2 linked regions of the Canis lupus familiaris genome follow. The protein of the gene in region 1 binds, or shares a complex with, the protein of each later gene. Links are inferred from orthologs where the notes say so. Each region holds a gene or a part of one and is shown in the gene's direction. Other genes may lie near its edges.

Region 1 (3,807 bases):
CTGGAAGCTTCCCACTAAGCCCACGAATGTATATTCGATATCTTCTATCTTCTAAATGTATATTTGATATCTTCTATATAAAGCCAGGGGCTGGAAGACAGTGGTCAAGAAATAGTCACACTTTTCCTTGCAAAGTTTATGGTAGAATGAGGGAAATAGACATATGTGCATTTCGCCTTTATTTTTCACGTAGGGTAGATACTATCTTTAGCCCCATTTTCTGGGTGTAGAAACTGAGGCTGAAGTTGGCTCAAGGATACACCCGAAGAAAAGCTAGGGCGGAAGCGTCTGCGTTCTTAACACCTGCTCTACACTGCCAGTTTCCACAGCTGCGGGGAAGTACAGGGTGTCGCAGAGAAAGAAACATTTAAGACAGCCAGCAGGGAACACTGTAGGAGCCTGGGGACAGAGAGCCGAATGAAGAGCTTCGAGCCCCTGCAGAGCCAGCACCTTCTGATGTCATGATGTCGGGCCCTTCCCAGAGGAAAAGAACTTGGAACCAAATTGGTTCTCTCCCCTGAGCCTCGGTTTCCACATCTGTAAAATGAGGTGGCTTCCTGCCCTGCCCACCCTCTGTGGCTAGGCTGGATGCAAACACAGGGCACATAGCTCTGGGTCGGGGGTGGGGCTTCAGTGAAGGCCATGTGGATGATGTGGATGGAGGGCTGGGATTTTGAGCTGCAAACTTGGCTTTGGTACACCAGGTCACGAGGAAGCATGTTAGGTTTTGCAAGCAGTCTTATGATGCAGCTGGGATCAAGGAAGGCTTTTCTGGCAGTTTCTCAGAGTGACGGAGAAAGGGGGAAGCGAACCCCCCTGGAGAAGGGAACTTACAGGAGAAATTATTGTGGTGTTGGGGTGGCCGTGGGGAAGAGGATCCGCTCTGAGGCACAGCAGAAGAAAGCCTGGCTGTCACTAGAATGGCATTCAACCATGGATCTGTCTAGAAAGTTAGCTCCACAAGGGCAAGACTTTATCTTGATTTTAGTATATGCTGTTGAAGCGAGCACTATCTTGATTAATGCAATATCCACTGACAATCAGAGAGGAGGAGCTCATTAAATATTTAGGGAATAATAGGTTGAGTGTAAATAGAGAAGCAAAGGAATCAAAGTGAGCCTAGCATTTAAGAAATTCTCCCCAAATTGAAAAAGATGGAGACATTGCTAGCCAGGAAGAAGAATATGCCAGCTAATACCCCAGGTAACTACCTGGATAAAAGGCACAGCCCAGGATAACTACTCACCCTGTTAGCAGCAGTAGGGACTCCAGTGGCGGGAGGCCTGCCCCCTGACTAAGTGAGCTTCCACCCACATACCTGCACTGTTAACCTGGCCATCCCAGATGAGATCATCTCCCAGGATGTAGATTGTTACCTCCACGTGATGGATAAAGAAGCAGCAGTTTGTCCAAAGCCTCTCAGTGAAAGGTTGCTAAGGCTGGAATTTGTCCCTAGGTTCCTAGTCCAGTGCTCTTCATACCACAGCAGGGATCAGAAGTTTGTAAAGGGACTAACATTTCCCAAATATCTACTAAGTATCAGATATGGAGATAGGCACTTTGCATATATGTTCTTTCAATTCTTATATATGTCAATTAAAAACATTAACTACAACCCCATTTTATAGTTGGTAAAGTGGAGGTTTGGAAAGCAATTTACAGCCCTGGAGCCAGACAGGCCTGGGTTGGATTACTCCTTGGAAGCTGGGTGCCCTTTCTAAGCCTCTGGCCTGTAAAATTGGTATTAAGGTAATAACTGTGTCCTTGCGATTGTCACAAGGATTGACTGAGAAAGTATATGGAAAGTGGTTAATACACCGGTTACACTTTAGCAATAATCACAAGATTGCTCTTATGGGACTGTTTAAGTCACGTAATTAATAATGAGTAGTGGAGTTGGGATCCAGACCCCAGTCTGACTCCCTGGCCTTCCACTCCAGCCGGCTGCCTCCAGGCAGGGCTAGGGCTGGTTTCCCTGGGCTGGACCCTCCCATCAAGGTGGGAGGAGGGCTGGCCTCCAGGAGGTCCCACTGGTCCCTCAGATCCGCTTGCTTGCAGATACAATGAAGTCAAGAAGAAGATGGATCCTGGCTTCCCCAAGCTCATCGCAGATGCCTGGAACGCCATCCCGGATAACCTGGACGCCGTGGTGGACCTGCAAGGCAGTGGTGAGCTGCCCAGAGCCCTGTCCGCTTTCTAGGACAGGCCTCCCCACCCCCAGCCAGGGCCCAGCTCCCCACAAGCACACACTCCCTCATTGTGTAGGGAGGCAAGTGGTGCTGGGGCGGGGGCGGGGAACAAATCAGCCCCTTCAGCCCAGTACTGGGAAGGCATCCAGACCCCTGACCTCTGCGCACTCAGCCGGCTCCAGGCAGTAAGACCCAGAAAGGCCTCTCACAGCTGCAGGGCCTGGAGCCAGGGAAGGGGAGGGCAGGAGGCCTGCTGGAACAAGAAATATGGCTCTGTGCCCTGCATTCATTCTGGGGTTTGGTCCAGGCCCTTTCAGGTTCCACAGGAGGCCTTGTGACTGCCTCCCATTAGCAGAAGGATGGCTCCATTTGAGACAGGACAAACTTTGTCATGCCCTGTTGCTGATGTGGCAAAGATGTCCCACTCAACTCCATCCCTCGCTGAGTAAAATACAACCAAGTGTCAGCAAGGGATAGGATTTGGGGTTGGAAAAACATATTCTTGAGGAGGCTTCTGTGAGGTCTGCAGGGTCCTGGGAATGAGTCCAGTTTGGCTTTTCAGAGGAGGTTGCAATTAAATTCCACAAAGATTTCTATTGAGCCCCTATCATATGCGAAGCACACGGCCCAAACCTCCTGTGGCGAAAGGTCTCACATGTCCAAGAAAGAGCAAAGTATAATCCAGGGGCCTGGTTAAGGGTTCTCTTCAAGAATAAACATCTATGGAGTCCCTCTCACGTGCCGGGCTTTTAAAGGAGGCAAACAAGATCATCGATGTCAGGAGTCACACATTTTAAAGCCCATAGGGGCTGGGCCAGTAGCACCAATGAGTGAAGCAGACAAGGCAGACAGGAGGGAGGGGTGGGGTCTGTGGTGAACCAGAAGGCACATAGCTTCTTCACAATCATCTGCTTCTTGAGGCTGCTGCAAGAACGGGACCCAGTGCTGCTAGATATCCTAGCTGCTTTATTTTATTTTATTTTTCTAAGATTTTATTTATTTATTCATGAGAGCCAGAGAGAGAGGCAGAGATATAGACAGAGAGGAAAGCAGGCTCCCTGTGGGGAGCCTGATGTGGGACTCAATCCTGGGACCCCAGGATCACACCCTGAGCAGAAGGCAGACACTCAACCGCTGAGCCACCCAGGCGTCCCTATCCTAGCTGTTTTAAGAGGAAGCAAGAAATGTATATTTTCGTATGAAGTTTCCAGATGTTTATGTGTTGGCAACTTAGAATTCAGAACAAAACAAAACAAAATATGTGTGCAAGCCAAATAAAACCCCTCTGCAGGCCTGATGGAGTGAGAAGCCTCCTAGTTTGCTCCCTCTGGTCTCTGGGACTTGCTTAGTTTGTACCCATGCTCAGTGGAATGCTGTTATTTATACTCATAATAGCATATGTTATCTGATGTAGTCCTCGCCACAAGCTCTAAGAGGTCGGTATCTTAATTCCCATTCAAGATGAAAAACAGGGACTCAGGGAGTGGACTTCCCCAGCCATTCCCTTCCCTCTGGCCTCAGAGGGATCTTCTCTGGTTGAAAAGCCTGTGCCCTATGGCCGGTGGCTCTCAAAGCTCCCAGGAACCTTCCATGTCTCAGGGTGGGGTGGTGACAGCCT
Region 2 (3,807 bases), on another chromosome or scaffold:
TAGAAGCTCCCTGAGCAGACAGGTGTACGTAACAGGGTGGGGGAGTGATGTGGAGTGTGCCGGGTGCTGCTACGGAGGACGGGATTTCCCAGAGCAAGACAGGAAAGGGGTATTTTGCCTGGGTCTTGAGGGATGCATAGAAGTTTTCCAGGCAGGGAAGGTTAGATGGCATTTGGGCCAGAAGAGACTTGTGAGTCCAGAGGTGGGGACACCCCTGGGCAGGTTCGGATTCTAAGGACTTTCCGGACTGTGGAACAGCAGGATGGGGGTGGCTGGGGCAGCGGAGATAGCTGCCGGCTGGCACCAGGTCGCACAGGGGTGTCCTTATTTTAGAGGAGGGCAGTGGGTGGCCGAGGAAGACATTTGAGCCCGGAGGGATGAGGCTATAAAAAGTCTGCTGGCGCTGGGGGTGGAGAAGGGTGGGAGCCTGAGGAGTCACTGCAAGCAGGCTGACCTGCCAGCGAGGGGAGAGCCCTCTGTCCTGGGCCCCTGGCTGGCACTGCCTAGATGTGGCTCTGCAGGTTTGGGCCGGGCTCAGCCTGGGAGGCAGGAACCTGCGGCCTCTGCCCATCGTGACTCAGCTCCAACAGAAGGAGACCTAAGAATGGGGTTTGGGCTGGGCGGGGTGGGGGTGGGGTGGCCTCTGGGGCCTGGTTGGGGCCAGGGGTGCGTGGTGGGTGCACATGGGATCCGTGTGCATGTCGTGGGGAAGACGGCCCTGGCCAGGGTGGGGGTGGGGGTCTCCAAGATATGAGCTGCCCCCGCACCCGGGGCAGAGGAGGGAGGCGCCTCTGTGCCTGGCTCCGTCTGTTCCTTATTGCTCTGTTTGGCTTGCATCCGCATTCACATAACCCTCACCCAGGGGACCCCGCACGGCTGGCCAAGCTGTGGAGGGCAAAGCTTTTAAAGCCATTAAAATGGGCCGTGCCCGCTGATATAAGCCTCGAAATGAATTAAGGGAGGGCTCTGCCCCAGTGACCGAGCCCTGCTGACTGTCACCTGGTCAGGCCATGGGCTGGGTCTGGGTCCCGCTGACCCTCACCTGGTCAGGCCGCGGGCTGGGTCCGGGTCCTGGCTTAATTGCTGGTAGGAAGGAAACCCTGTGGTGCATGGCCCATGAGCGGACGTTCCCGAACCTTCCCAGCCTGACCTCTTCCCGTCTCCTTCATCCTTGTGTCATGGTCTGGGACCGTTTTCTTTCCGTTTGGCCTCCTTCCTGGGCCTCTGTCCAGTGGGGTCTGTGAGCATTTCCTCACCCAGCTCGATGGCCTCTGGGGGGGCCGAGCACTCTGACCCTTTGCCTGTCATGCCCCTGATAGAACGTGTTATTACTATTTTTTTAAATAAATTTTATTTATTTTGAGAGACAGAGGCAGAGACACAGGCAGAGGGAGAAGCAGGCTCCATGCAGGGAGCACGACATGGGACTCCATCCCAGGTCTCCAGGATCATGCCCTGGGCTGAAGGAGGCGCTAAACCGCTGATCCACCAGGGCTGCCCAGAACGTATCATTATAAAGCATCGTCCGTGGGACATTTATCCGGGACGCCTTTAGGACAGATTAGGAGTAGTAGGATAGACCTTTCCAATATAAGACCCCCAAACCTAACTATGATGGGGCCTCTTTGGAAGGCGGTTATCCCTCTGCTTTCAGCCTGGAAAAGCCTGTTTGCAGTAGGCTGTGGATGGAGGCTGGGTGGTAGGAAGCCACCATCCTTAATTATATGATGATTGTGGCCCAGTTAATTTGCTTATCTGCTTGCCCAGCCGCAGCCTACCCGTTCGTTGGAGAGAATTTTAAAAAGCCCCAAAGCACTTAGGCGTGACATCAACAAAGAGCTTTATCAGTGACTACCCAGTAACCTCGCTACCGGTGAGACACCAGCCTTCTGCTTTGGGTCCCTGTCAACATTCTTTTTTTTTTTCCCAAAGATTTTCTTTATTTATTCATGAGAGACACAGAGAGAAAGAGAGGCAGAGACACAGGCAGAGGGAGAAGCAGGCTCCACGCAGGGAGCCTGATGTGGGACTTGATCCCGGGTCTCCAGGATCACACACTGGGCTGAAGGCAGGTGCTAAACCGCTGAGCCACCCAGGTGTCCCACCTGTCAACATTCTTGCTGAAGAATCCTGGGACTGGAAGGGGTCTCAGAGCTTCACCCCTCGCCCCTGCCCCTCGCCGTGGGTGGGGTCTGACACCGTGCAAGGGGCTGGCTTCATCGTGCCCCCACCCCCACCCCGCCCCGGAGCCAGGACAGCACTGTGGTGGCTCCACTCACCTCCCTGTCTTTGTTTTGCAGTGATTAGGGCCAAAGCGGTCAGTGTGAAGGAGGTGGACTCTGGGAATGACATCTACGGCAACCCCATCAAGCGGATTCAGTATGAGATCAAGCAGATAAAGGTACCGGGCACCACCGCCAGGTTGCTGCCTGGGCAGAGCCTCGGGAGGGCCGGGAGCAAGGTTGGGCCCCCCCCACCCCCCGAGGAGGTGTCCTGCCTTCTTGAGTAACTCGGTACAGCCATCCCTCGAGCAGACTCGAGGGCTCCAAGCCACAGGTCAATCCGATTTTCCTTAATCTGTGACTGCCTGGAAAGTTGTGTGGACCTGCCATGTTCCCGTCGACCAGGTCATTGTAGAAATGTGTCCTCTTCGTTTTGGTGGGTAGTAAATTTGTGGCAGAGTCTCAGCACGGTTACAGCGGTGGCCAGAGCTTCTGTGGAACATTCCGAGGGTGCCCGTCCTCAGCTGAGCCAGTGCGAGGTTCGAAGGCCCGAGAGCTTGGCCGTTGCATCTGGGAGCCCTCACTCCCACAAACTGTGCCGTGGGGTCTCCCTCACCTGGTCAGCCTTCGAGTCTAAGAGGAAGGAGGGGTCCCGTGGGCAGGTGTGGTGGGGGCCGGCTTCCCCGAGGAGGACATGGAGCCCACGGCCTGGCCAGTGGCGGAGGGGATCCGCCAGGTGGGAGCGGGACGGGCAGGCGTGGGGACTGAGCACTGAAGGGGAGGTGGAAGGGGAGGTCAGTTGTTTCAGAACGTTGTCCATGTTCAAGGGCGAGGAGCTCGTGTTGGAGAGGAGACGGGGTGGGAGACGAGGTTGGAAGGACAGGACCGGCCGTGGAGGAAGGCGATCTTGTTTCAGTCACTAACTCCGTCCCCAGGGGAGGAGGACGTCCTAGGCGCTGTCCCTGGAGAGACGGCTTCATAAAGGCAGGAGTTGTCGCTGTCTGTGTTTTTTTTTTTTTTCAAAGATTTTATTTATTCATGAGAGACACAGAGAGAGAGAGAGAGAAAGGCAGAGACACAGGCAGAGGGAGAAGCAGGCTCCATGCAGGGAGCCCGACGTGGGACTCGATCCCGGGACCCCGGGATCACACCCCAGGGTGAAGGCAGGCACTAAACCGCCGAGCCCCCGGGCCGCCCGCTGTCTGTGTTTAATTGTGTTACAAAAATACAAAGAAGCGGGGAACACGTGTTATCAGGAGGTCCACGAAATGCTTACTCATTGCATCCGTGTCATCCGAGGGGCGACCTGCTCTCTCGGGGCCTAAGTCCCTACGCGAGGGAGAGAGAACGTCTCTGTTCTTGCAACCTCATCGGGGCGTCCTGAAGAGGCAGGTGTTGACACCAAGAAGCATGTTTGGTCTCCGTGAAAGATGGCGAGGTCTCGGTGACGGCGCATTGTTGTCACCGTCGGCCTCACCTTCCCTGGGTGGGATGAGCCGAGCTTTTGCATCTCAGGATACTGGGATGGCCCCTTTTTATTGGGGTTTGCTTGTTGAAACTCCGCCCTCCCCCCAAACCCTGTGCT

What was found.
Region 2: the proteins of MMP2 (region 1) and TIMP2 are in contact, whole or in part, in a crystal structure (PDB 1GXD), measured with the Homo sapiens proteins. The link is inferred for Canis lupus familiaris from reciprocal best matches to the Homo sapiens genes MMP2 and TIMP2. Residues at the interface, in NP_004521.1 of Homo sapiens: Trp574, Lys576, Asn577, Lys579, Tyr581, Phe588, Arg590, Lys595, Asp599, Phe602, Lys604, Ile606, Ala607, Asp608, Ala609, Trp610, Asn611, Ala612, Asp615, Tyr636, Leu638, Leu645, Lys646, Ser647, Val648, Lys649, Phe650, Gly651, Ser652; in NP_003246.1 of Homo sapiens: Ile162, Pro163, Cys164, Tyr165, Ile166, Pro169, Leu173, Met175, Val178, Thr179, Phe191, Arg196, Asp198, Ser200, Cys201, Ala202, Trp203, Tyr204, Arg205, Ala208, Lys211, Gln212, Glu213, Phe214, Leu215, Asp216, Glu218.

What each region holds. Positions count from the first base shown.
Region 1 is NC_049223.1:59,748,267-59,752,073, reverse strand, and holds part of MMP2 (72 kDa type IV collagenase), read left to right. Parts: intron 1-2,058; coding exon 2,059-2,168; intron 2,169-3,807.
Region 2 is NC_049230.1:3,400,533-3,404,339, forward strand, and holds part of TIMP2 (metalloproteinase inhibitor 2 precursor), read left to right. Parts: intron 1-2,300; coding exon 2,301-2,401; intron 2,402-3,807. UniProt on the Homo sapiens protein: Complexes with metalloproteinases (such as collagenases) and irreversibly inactivates them by binding to their catalytic zinc cofactor. Known to act on MMP-1, MMP-2, MMP-3, MMP-7, MMP-8, MMP-9, MMP-10, MMP-13, MMP-14, MMP-15, MMP-16 and MMP-19.